Linked DNA regions of Cricetulus griseus. The protein of the gene in region 2 binds, or shares a complex with, the protein of the main gene of each other region. Links are inferred from orthologs where the notes say so. Each region holds a gene or a part of one and is shown on either strand. Other genes may lie near its edges.

The links. Proteins that work in one complex are often made in the same cells at the same time.
Region 1: the proteins of growth/differentiation factor 5 (region 2) and hemojuvelin are in contact, whole or in part, in a crystal structure (PDB 6Z3L), measured with the Homo sapiens proteins. The link is inferred for Cricetulus griseus from reciprocal best matches to the Homo sapiens genes GDF5 and HJV. Residues at the interface, in NP_000548.2 of Homo sapiens: Met412, Trp414, Trp417, Phe478, Asp480, Ser481, Lys488, Tyr490, Met493; in NP_001366281.1 of Homo sapiens: Arg95, Arg98, Gly99, Leu101, His104, Ser105, His108.

The regions. Positions count from the first base shown.
Region 1 is NW_023276806.1:59,965,863-59,971,604, forward strand, and holds hemojuvelin, read right to left. Parts: upstream 3,635-5,742; coding exon 3,538-3,634; intron 3,137-3,537; coding exon 2,589-3,136; intron 2,100-2,588; coding exon 1,476-2,099; 3' UTR 1,322-1,475; downstream 1-1,321. UniProt on the Homo sapiens protein: Acts as a bone morphogenetic protein (BMP) coreceptor. Through enhancement of BMP signaling regulates hepcidin (HAMP) expression and regulates iron homeostasis.
Region 2 is NC_048599.1:23,651,559-23,657,226, reverse strand, and holds the start of growth/differentiation factor 5, read right to left. Parts: upstream 3,703-5,668; 5' UTR 3,343-3,702; coding exon 2,730-3,342; intron 737-2,729; coding exon 1-736. UniProt on the Homo sapiens protein: Growth factor involved in bone and cartilage formation. During cartilage development regulates differentiation of chondrogenic tissue through two pathways.

The DNA of each region.
Region 1 (5,742 bases), on a different chromosome or scaffold from region 2:
TCGGCCCAGCTCTGCCTATTTAAGACCCTGTAAAAAAGAAAACTAAATAAAATGACATTAAAATGCCCATACTGGGGGTGGGGAGTGGGGTGGCGCACGCCTTTAATCCCAGTACTCAGGAGGCGGAGGCAGGTGGATCTCTGTGAGTTCGAGACCAGCCTGGTCTACAAGAGCTAGTTCCAGGACAGCCTTCAAGGCCAAGAGAAACTGCCTCAACCCCCCCAGAACAAAAATAAACACAAAACAAAACAAAAACAACAACAAAAAATGCCCTACTGTAAGTTAAGTTACAACAGTGGGCAAAGTACACACACACACACACACACACACACACACAATGTAAATAGTAAGAACTGAAAAGTGTAGCCAGTTAGTGGTGGCACACGCCTTTACTCGCAGCAGAGACAGATCTCTGTGAGTTCAAGGCCAGCCTGGTCTACAGAGCAAGTTCTAGGACAGACTCTAAAGCTACACAGAAAAACCCTGTCTGAAAAAAACAAAAACAGAAAAAAAGAAGGTGGTGGTGGTGGTTGTTTTCTGGAGAGATGGCTCAGTGGTTAAGAGCACGGGCTCTCTTCCAGTGGTCCTGAGTTCAATCCCAGCTTACACATGGTGGTTCACAACCATCCTTAATAAGATCTGGTGCCCTCTTCTGGCTTGCTTGCACTTAGAGACATAAGAACAGTAGAGATAGTCAGACCAGCAGTTCAAGGGTAGTCTGGAGAGGCTCCATTAAAAATAAAAGCAAATGATAATTAATAATAAAAATAATCATGATTCCTTCCTGTGAACCAGTTTTGTCTAATAGCCTGGGGACTCCAAAAGGGCAGATAGGATAGCTGATAACTCTGAGATATCTTTCATTGTCCGAATTCCAGGTCACACATCCGTAAAGGGACTCAACACAGGTGACAGAGGACAGTGTGGAGAATTCATAGCTTTAATAACAGATCGGTAAGGGGTGGGGATGCCAGTTTCTATATTGGTACTAGTCTCCAAAAGCTGACTTCCTTTGTCTAAGAGCTAGACAATGCCCGCTTAATTTCTGAACCCCAAAACTTAATTATTTTCTTCTCTTCGGACTTTCTTAAAGATAATCACATCTTCCTATTTTTAGTTCTTGCCTTTAAGAAATCCCAGCCCTTTAATGATTTGCTGCTCACAAGCACTCTCACAATCTCTAGATTTGTAGGAGTGATATCAGGTATGTGTGGAGTGGAGTAATGAGCTTTCTACCCATGGGACTGCGGAAACTCACGGTGAAGAGCTCCTACCACGGTCTGGAATGCAAAACCCAGAATTCTTCTTCTAGGATCAAGGCGTCCCTGACTGTAGCCCCATCTGGTTCTGGGTGAGTGTCATTGTCTCCGCTATCTCCCTGTCCCCACTGCTTCCTCTGGTCCATCTTAATGTTTTCTCACGCCAACCTCTACCCTCAAATCAGTCCCAAACTAGTCACAGGGTTGCTGGCCTACTTACTGAACGCAAAGCCACAGAACAAAGAGGCCTGAAAGAAGCTGGACTAGAAAGGTAGCTGGGGAGAGAGGAGGCCCTGCATCTGAGGGGAAAAGATGCAATTTCTCTAAATCCGGCAAGAAGACTCGGGCATCGTCCAGAGCTGTCTGAGCTGCCACAGTAAAGTTAGGGTCACCAGAGACTGAAACATCAAAGACGCAAGATTGGAAGTAGGCGTCTTCCACGGGAAGCCCTTCCTTACACAGCCTTCTGGCAGTGTCGATGGCTATAGCCCCTCGGCGACTGCGCTCTGAGCGAGAGAGTCGCTGACTGGGAGGGCAGCCGCCAACACACAGCTGTAGGTCCTGCTCAGCGGAGAAGGCCCGCGCCACGTCCTCGGCTACCCTGATGGAGAAGGAGAGCTGTCCAGCTGTCTGTCGAATGATTATAGTTGTCCCAATATAGGCAGCTCGGATCTCCACGTGGCTCCCAGGGTTAGCAGTTTGAATGGACAAACTCGAGCCCCCAGGTCGGTCACCTCCATTGATAGAACCGTCTTCAAAGGCTGCAGGAAGATTGTCCACCTCGGCCTGGTAGACTTTCTGGTCAATGCATTCCTGCATGTTCTTAAATATGATGGTAATCTGTGCGGGCAAAGAGGAAAATAGTTTATTAGGACTCAGTTTATCTTTCCCTCAATCAAGCAGCTTTTATTGTTAGGGATCTGATCCCAGCAGACGCAGGGTGTCTCCACGGCCCTTGATCCGGTCCCCTATTGCCTTCCAGTAATACCTGACCCCTATCCAACCCCTCATTCCTTTTTTTTTTTTTTTTCTCAATCTCAGCCAGGAAAATAAAGTGTCCCTTCTGACTCCTCAGTTCTCATAGCCTGGCTGCCACCCCAGCTTCTTCCTCAGTGTTACCTGCATTTTAAATAAAATCCCCATCAAGAGGAACTGATCTACAGGGGCAAATGTTTGATAAGAGGCAGCCATTCAAGATGGGCGGGACTATTTGGGGAAGACAAGGAACCAGGAGCTTGGTGGCTGAGGAGTGAGAACAAGGAGTGGTGTGCCCGGTGGACCGGGAGAGGATTTCAGAAGGTGGATTAGGAGGGAAATTGAATCCCTGACCTTCCGGGTGGTGGTAGCGTTGGCCCCCGATGCCACGGGGGAGCTGGTGGCCTGAACAAAAAGGAAGTCGTTATCCAGAAGGGGCCAAGCTCCTTGGACGCGGCATGTGTGAAAGTGGTGGTAGAAGCTGCGCACGTGGGGATCCCCGAACGAGGCGCAATGCAAGAAGCCCGGGGCCCGACCGTGCAGCCGGGAAAACCGGGCCTCGTAGTCACAGGGGTCTGGGGTCGGGGGTGCTGGGCCAGCTCCGGGAAGGGCGGGGCCCCGGGCCGGGGGCGGGGCCGTGGGGCCCTGGCGAGAGCAGTTGTGCTGGATCATCAGGTCCTCGATGCCGTGCACCGCTGAGTGGAAGGCGAGGTCCCCGCGGCACGTGCGGGCTGTGCGCCGAGTGCAGAGCGCATAGGAGCGCAGGGCGCGACACAAGCCACCCGAGGCCAGCCCACCACGGCCGCCTCCACGCTGCGTACCCGGTGAGCCCCCTTCCCGAAGGCTCAGAGTGGACGAGACGTACTCGGCATTGCAGCGGAGGATCTTGCACTGGGAGTGAGCTGAGGACGGAAGGGAGAGGAGGACAGTGAGACGGTGCCCAGACGTAGGTTCTAGCCAAGTCCAGAACGCGCCTAATTGCCAAAAGGCATCCTCCATCCCAGCTCTTCCTAGCACCCAGAGTGGGCGCTTTCCCAGTCCCAACCTTCAGCCCCCTCCTCCTCGCCTCCTTCCCTCTTTTTCTCTACTAAAAAGCGTGTAATCCAGTCGGACCTTTCCCCCTTACGGTCCAAGGACTCCATATGTGTCCTTCCTCCAGTTAAACGGGGAAACAAGACAGGCCTCTTTCAGAGTGACTGGGATTCAGCACCCCTTCGCCCTCACTCACTGATGCTGGCATGCCCACCCCTACCCGGCAGCCTACCATCTAGAGGTGCCCAACCCTTCCCTAACCCTTCCTTACCCTGTCCACAGAGGAGCAGCAGTAGAATGAGGGTGCTTAGAGTTGGGGGACCGCCATGGGGGAACCAGGGACTAAGAGGCTGGCCTCGATCCCCCATACCTATCCAGCCAGATCCCCCCAGGCGCGGGTTCTTCCCAGCTGATGAACCTCCTACCTAGTGAATTTCGACAGGCAGTTCTGTGACTGGAAAAAGAAATTTGACTGGGTGTGGGGAAAGAGAAGGGTTGAAGACGGGTCAAGATGGTGTGGAGAGAATCTGGGGAGATCAAGACAACAATTATACAGACTGGAGCTTGGGAAGCAGGAGGCTTCCAGATGGTGAGCTTGGCTAGTGAGCCTCTGAGCCCTGCTCCTGTGGCCACCTTCAGGTCCCTTGTGCAATACCCCTAGGTGGGGGTGGAGGGAAGGTTGAATGACCTCCGTGGGCAGAGTCCACAGTATTGCCTCATCCTGACTACCAAATAGCAGATTTGTCAGAAATGGAGGGATTCCTGGGGAAAGTGAGTTCCTGATCATTTCAGCGGGTTCTCCTGAAGCCTTGGGATCTGAAAATGCTTTAAAAACATACCTTTTATATGTAACTCCCAATCACGAGAGGCCGGCCACCTGCCATGTCTTTTTCTTCATTGTGTTAGAAGGGCACAAAGGGTAAATATCTTAGACAAGTGCCTTCTAGAATGTCATTTTTCCAGTGAAAAGGGAATCAGTCTCTTAGCCACCCTAGACGACTGGCATTATGATCCCTCTCTCATCACATAGGATACAAACCAAGCATTTAAATTAATATTTTTTTTCCTGAAGAACAACTCTTTCTATTATCCCCCGTGCACCCCCTCCAGCCTTTGCAAATCCTGAAGTTCCTGGTCTTTTAAGGGGGGCAGGTATTGGGGAGGATCTCTCTCCCTTTCTCCTGCCAAAATCCACTCTTTGGAGTAAGTCTATATATAATTGGGCAAGAGTCCTGCAAGGGGTCTTGAGTTAGAGGCTGGGAGTGTAACTCAGTGATAGGTGAGTGTTTACCATGCTCAAGGGTTCAGTTCCCAGCATTATCCCCCAACTCCCACTCCAAAGTCTCAGTGTAATAAAGTGCAGAGGGAAATAAGGGCCGGAGAAGAGGCAGCATTAAACTCCAAGTAGACATGGCTTGGAAACCAAAACAATGAGGCAGGAAGAGTGGCGGTGGGGTATTGGTAAGGAGAAATCCTAGTTTTCAGAACAGATGTCTGTAATTTTATGAAATTCTAGCCTCAACCCAACGCTTATCAAAGCAATTTCAGTTTCATCTGGACTTACTGTTTCCCGAGGTCAAACATGACTCTGATACCCGACTCTCCAGCCATAGTTGCCTATGCTGTTGGTCTGCTCCAACCAGGGGTCCCCCGTCTCTTTCTCCATGTCTCTCCCAGTACCCCAGACTGGCTGTAATCTTACTGAGGTCAGAGAGCCAGAGAAGGTTTGGTGTGGAGAGAGGGGGAAGGGAGAGTAAATGGCTGGCCCCAGGACTCGACAGCTGAGAGGAGGAGGGAGGTGGCCACTGAGTTGACAGTTTTAAAAATAGCTAAGTCCAAAATTCCAGGAGCGTTGGTGGCAGTAGGGTGTGGGAGTGAAGGCAGTGAGGACGATAAGCAGAATGGATGAAATATGGAATGTTGGGTACCAAGTGAGGGAGAGAGTAAAGAAACATGACAGCCAAGTCAGATATCCAACTCCAGCTTGTGTGCTCTCTCTCTTCGTGGCCACTCTGCTCCTCCTGCATTCTCAGTAATGAGCTCCTGGCCTTTAAGAATGGCAGGGAGCTGTTGACTGTCTTTCATTTACTCTATACTGAGTATCCCATTGAGTTTCCACCGATGGTATGTGGTGGTGTCTGGCTTTGAAGGTGGACAGCAAGCCTCATTCATGGACCCTCCCTGTCTCTGCCGAGTATTTCAGGAGCTGAAAGGCTCAGCTGTCCGGAGGAGAAATCGGAGAACACAATTGTTTGGGAGGAGGGCTTATTCTGTCTGTCCAGCTGGAATCTCTGCAGCTGTCCACCCCATCTCCACCGTTTCCATGATGCTAGTTTATGCAACAATCCTCCCTCCCCCTCATCAATACATACAAAAGTCTTAAGCTTCTGGGTCTCGGGGAGTATAGGATGACAATAACAGAGGAGAAGCAGGCGGTTTGGGGGCAATAACAGAGGCAAAGGCGAAGAATTGGGGG
Region 2 (5,668 bases):
ATAGAATTCATCAGGGTCTGGATGACTGCATGGTTTGTGGGCTCCAAGTGGGAGCGCAAGGGGAACTCGCATAGTCCTTCGCAATGGAAGGCTTCGTACTCAAGGGGTGCAATGATCCAGTCGTCCCAGCCCATGTCCTTGAAGTTGACATGCAAAGCTTTGCGACTGCAGCGAGCCTTGAGGTTCTTGCTCGGTCGCTTGCCCTGGCGATTGGCCAGTGGGGCCCGCCGTTTCCGCCGCTGGCTGAACAGGTATTCATACACAGTCTTGTCATCCTGGCCAGAGCGGGCCTTAATCTCATTAAAGAACAGGTCCCGTTTCTTAGTACGACCAAACACCAGGAACAGGGCCTTCTCGTGGACTTGTCGGGCAGCGCGTTCAAAGCCCAGGCCGCGGAGGTCCACAGCCCGGCCCCGTTCCCAGGCCTCCAGCTCCAGGCACAGCTGTGCTGAGTTCTTAAAATTTCGGAAGAGTTTCCAGATGTCGAACACCTCCCAGCCAGATCCATCCAGGCCTGGCACGGAGCGCACATCCAGCAAGGCTGCCGGCTGCCGGCCGCTGGGGCAGCTGGACAGCTTCAGCTGGGCAACCCGCCCGCTACTGGGGACCGCTGGCTTGGCCATGTCCAAGGGCTTCTTCCGTAGGATCCGCAGTTCAGCCCCCAACAGCCCATCCTTCTCCAGAGCACTGATGTCAAACACGTACCTCTGCTTCCTGACCACAGGGCCTCGGTCATCTGGAGAAAACAGCCGGAAGTCAATTCTTGTCACTTCACCAAGATAGTCTAGCCTGCCACCTCGGAGCCTCCAGGGAGGACCTAACTCTCTCCCACTCAAAAGACATTCCTTTAACCTCTTCCCCACTATGGCCAAAGCCAACACCCAAACCACCAAGAGCCCTTTTCCAAATGAAGGTAGGTGTGCCACTTTGCACGATCTCAGTGCCCTCGCCATTCGTGATCTGTATGAGAGCCATCAAACAGTATACCGGTGTCCGCCCCACCCATGAGCACATTATTATCTCCCATACGTAAGACAGGTGATATGTGCATTTAAACTACCCACTCTTCCAGAGGAGGAACCTGCCGCTCAGAGTAAGTTAGGGGACTCATTCAATGTCCTCTACCTGGGGGAAAGTAGAAATAGAACTGTAGCCTAGAACTTCAATACTCCTTTCGAGCTTCCTCCACCTGAAGGACCTTAGCGTTTTTGTTCTGGGCAAGGCACAGAGTTGGGGAGTAAATTGATGTAGGTAACACAGCAGATTAATAACAAAGCCCATCTGCAACTCAACTTCCCTAGTTTCCAGTCTGACAATTTTGTGTCCATGAGTGTGGTTCGTGTGTGTGTGTGTGTGTGTGTGTGTGTGTGCGCGCGCGCGCGCGCGCGCATTCGCGTGTGCAATTGGGTTCCCGAGTGAGTATAAAGTAATATATATGCTATTGGCACATGCAAGTACAGTTGGGCTTCAATGAGTACTTGAAAAATGATGATATATGTATGTATGCATGTTTGTGATTCGTTTACCATGTGTATAAAATACAAGGCTCTGTGTGTGTGTGTGTGTGTGTGTGTGTGTGTGTGTGTGTGTGTGTAGCTCAGTGATTATCTCTGAATCAGCATGCCCTCCTTCCTAAATGCCAATATGCCATTAGGGAATATTCAAATATTGCTCTAGAAGGTAACTAATTAGGCCTTTAAACTCTCCATCTCCCCCTCCCCAAGCTCCCTTAGTGCTGGGGGGGACACAAGGACTTATTTTATGAGCCCTAGAGGGGTCACAGCTTTCCTTGGCTGGGCACGACGCCAGGCCACCTCCCCCACCTCTGCCAGACCTGCTGCCTCTGTACCTCCCCCACGCCCTGTCATTCCCCTACAGACCAGCTCTAATGAGGAGGCTCTCCCACTCTCTGGCCCCTCCCCCACCCTGCCCGCCAAAGTCCCAAGACTGTGAACCTGAGACTGAACTGCAAGACACCTCACCAACTGCCAGCGGTCCAGCCAGCTCCGCACTGTGGCGAACCTGAGGCTCTGAGAAGGGAAGGGATTTGCTGGGAACACACAGCAAGTTGAGAGCAAGAGCTGAGCCAGTAACACTAGGTGGGCAGACCTCCAGAGAAGCAGGGAAGACAAGTATTCTCCCAGGTTAGAGGAGAGCCATATGGGTTAGGATAGGACTCAAGGCTTTGGCATTCAAAGTGCTCAGACTTCACCTAGTCCAAGGCGCATGTAGTACACACACAGGAAAACAGACCCCAGGGAAGAAGGGACTTCTAGGGTCACAGTGTGAGTTAGTCCCTAGGTCAGCTGCGACTCCAAGACGACATGCTTTTGGTCTTCCCAAATCCTACCCCTTCGCCCCCTCCCTGAGGTTAGAGCTGAAGACCCACAGGAACCTAAAGTCTCTTTCTCTCTGCTATCTGAGGAAAAGCTGGGGCGTACAAACTTGAGCGTTGCAACCCCCACAAAAGTATGACCCAGTAATCAAGAGTGGACTTTGGAGTCTAGCATCCAGATCTGAGCTCCTCTCTGCACTTCAGTGCCCATTTTGCACCTCGCAGGAGTTTAACTTGGTGATCCCTAGGCGTCCCTAATCCTGGACCTGGTATGTGTAAGTTCCAGACTCCCACCCTAGCCTGGATATACACACTGTTCCCCACCTGCGAACTCCAGGACTTTGGAACTCCTGGGTCTGTGCAAATGCCCCTCCCTGCCACCCCACCCCCTCACCTTGCCCTTTGTCAATAAAGCTGGTGATGGTGTTGGCCAGGCCAGCCTCCAACTTCACGCTGCTGTTGCGTCCCTTTCTGTCAGCATCGGACAGCGTCCTGTACAGCGAGAGCATGTATTCATGGGGTGTGATGGGGGGTGGGCGGAACGGCTCCTTGGGTTCTCGAGGGGTCCCAGGATCCCTGGTCTTCTTCAGCAGGAAGGAGCTGGGGGCAGATCCTGCTTTTGAGGAGGCTTTGCCCCCAGGAAGCTGTCCTTTTGGGGATACGGTCCGTGCTGCAGCCTGCCTAGTCTGGGAAGGGGGTCCTGGCTTGGTTTCAGGCCCACCGGATCTGGGGGGTATCTTTCTGGGTTCATCCTTCTTAGCCTGTGTCTGCCCAGAGCTTCCCTTTGCCCTAGCATTGGTGGGTCCCCCACCATAGCTATGACCCCCTGGCCTAAAGATGTTCCGGGCCAGGGGTGGCCTCTCCTTGGCCTCTGCTTTGGCCAACCCTGGCCTGGCCCCTGGGGGTCTCTGGCCTAAGTCGGGGGCACCCAACACAGTGCGGATAAATTCCAGGTCCAGCCAAGCCAGGTGCCAAAGCAAAAAAGTGAGGAGTTTGGGGAGTCTCATCCTCTGGCCAGCCGCTGACTGACACCACAGAGAAAGGCAGCGGCAGCGAAGGTGTCTCTGGCTTGGCAGGAAAAACCATGAAAGGAGTGGGTCTTCAGGAGCAGCGGCGGCGGCAGCAGTAGCAGCAGCAGGCAGGGCTTTCTCCTCAGTCTGAGCGCCTTGAAGTCCGCCGGGCGTGTGTCTGTATCCAGTCCCATAGTGGAAATGCTCCCGTGTCCAGACGTGCACCGTCTCCAGTCAGCAGCTGAAAATAACTCGTTCTTGAAAGGAGAAAGCCGACCGCCCCCTTTCTCCCGCACAACTGACTGAGGGCTTGAAGGAGGCTTGTATAAGGCTGAGGGATTTTTCCAAGAAGGAAGAATGGCGTAATGCTGCCTGAGCGCTCCAGTTTTTTTTTTTTTTTTCCCTCTAATTTTGAATCCTTTCCAGTGAAAATACTTACACACACACACACACACACACACACACACACACACACACACACACACACAAACCTGCAGGTGCTCAGAAAAATCTTTTACAAACCTGAACTCAGGAATTGGAAACGGAATTCCAACCCAAACCAATTTAATTACTCTCTGATGTCATGCTGTCTAAATTCATTTAAGTGCGATATATTTATGTGAAAAAAATCACCACTGCCCTTTAGAGGCCACGACTCACGGGGGCTCTTGGCTCAGAGCCCCACAGCGGGACTCAGGCTTAGGGGGCCTCCCAACCCCAGAACAGACTTAGGGGTCTTCACCTCCACCCGCTGGAGCAGCCCACCCCACCATCCTGAGCAGAGATGCTGAGGAATGAGTTGCAAAGACCTGCAGGCACTAGGTATGCGAGTTAGGTTTTTCAGTGAAGTCCGAGGAGTGTCTATAAAACAGTTTCAATCCCTCTGTCTAGTCTGGGACCTGGTGTGTGCGTGCGTGTGTGTGTGTGTGTGTGTGTGTGTGTGTGTGTGTGTGTGTGTGTGTGTGTGTGTGTGTGTGTTGGGGGGGCAGCACAGATGGCAGCATTTACCCACAGTTTCTTTTATTTTAATAAACTTGTGACCCAGAAACAGAAAAAAAAAAATAGTGCCCATTATACCACCCCCACCAAATGCCATTCGCTAAGCACTGCCATCCTGTAGCCCCCTTGGTTGAAAACAGGTCCAGAGTGAGTGTACACAGGCAAAGACCGCCAGTTTTCTTAGAAGAAATTGGCTGGGGCCAGAGGTAGCAGCCCCTGCCTAAGGCAGCAGCGACCCCTGCAGGAAGTTGGAAGAGAAAGTTCTCATGGACTACTTGTGTAATAGCTGGTGGAGAAAGCTGAATTCCTGCTCAACTCAAGAGTGCCCCTCGCCTTCCTTTTCTTCTTCTTCTTTAGACAAGGTCTCATGTAGCCCAACCTGGCCTCAAGTTCACTATGTACCCAAGGCTAGCCTTGAGCTCCTGATCCTACACCTACCAGAGCCTGAGATGACAGATATGTGGCACCACCTAGCTACAAGGGTTTCCTAAAATGCCTTGCTAAAGTATTTAAACACCCTTTCTTTGGAGATTCCGTGTTATAGAGCCCTGGGAAACTTACTCAGGGTCAAGGAGAAGGGGGAGTGAAACCCCAGGCCTCCCTCAAGTGTGATAGGCAAACACTACCGCAGAGCTCCACCCCTAGTCCAGAGTCTCTTCCCTTTTCTTGAGACAGTCTCCTGTGGCGAAAGCTGGCCTTGGACTTGCAATATTAGCTGAGGCTGCCCTGGAAGTCCTGATCCTCCTACACCCACCTCCTTGGTTACAGCGTGGGATTATGGAACTGTACCACCTGCCCTAGCCTTCCTTTATTAATCCTCAAATCTTGCAGCTGACCTAACAGATCCATTCACACGCTAAAGTTGGTTTCTAGAGACTCTCTGCTGGAGTCTAGGCATGTAACTCAGTAGTCTCGTGCATGGTTAGCATGCACAGAGCCCTCACCAAGACAACCCCAAACAAAGTCCTCACTCCGGATAGCTAAGTGGCTGCAAGTCTATTTTCTTTTTTAAATATTTTACTTTGTTTATGTGTATGTGTGGGAAGAGGGTGCCACAGGAGACCAGAAAAGGGTATTAAGTCCCTTGAAGCTGGAGTGGCAGGCAGCTGTGTGCCACCCTGACATGGGTGCCGGGAGCAGAATTCTGTCCTTCCCCAAGCAGAAAGTACTCTTTTTCATAATGTTGTTCCTGGTTCACTTACTCAGCCACTCCAAGTTTCATTGATAGCTCCAGGTCTGAAGCCTGGACTTCCAAGGACCAAGGCACCACCTGCTTTCTTCAGCGAGCTTGGAGGATGGCTTGAACTCATTACAGTCCCTCAAG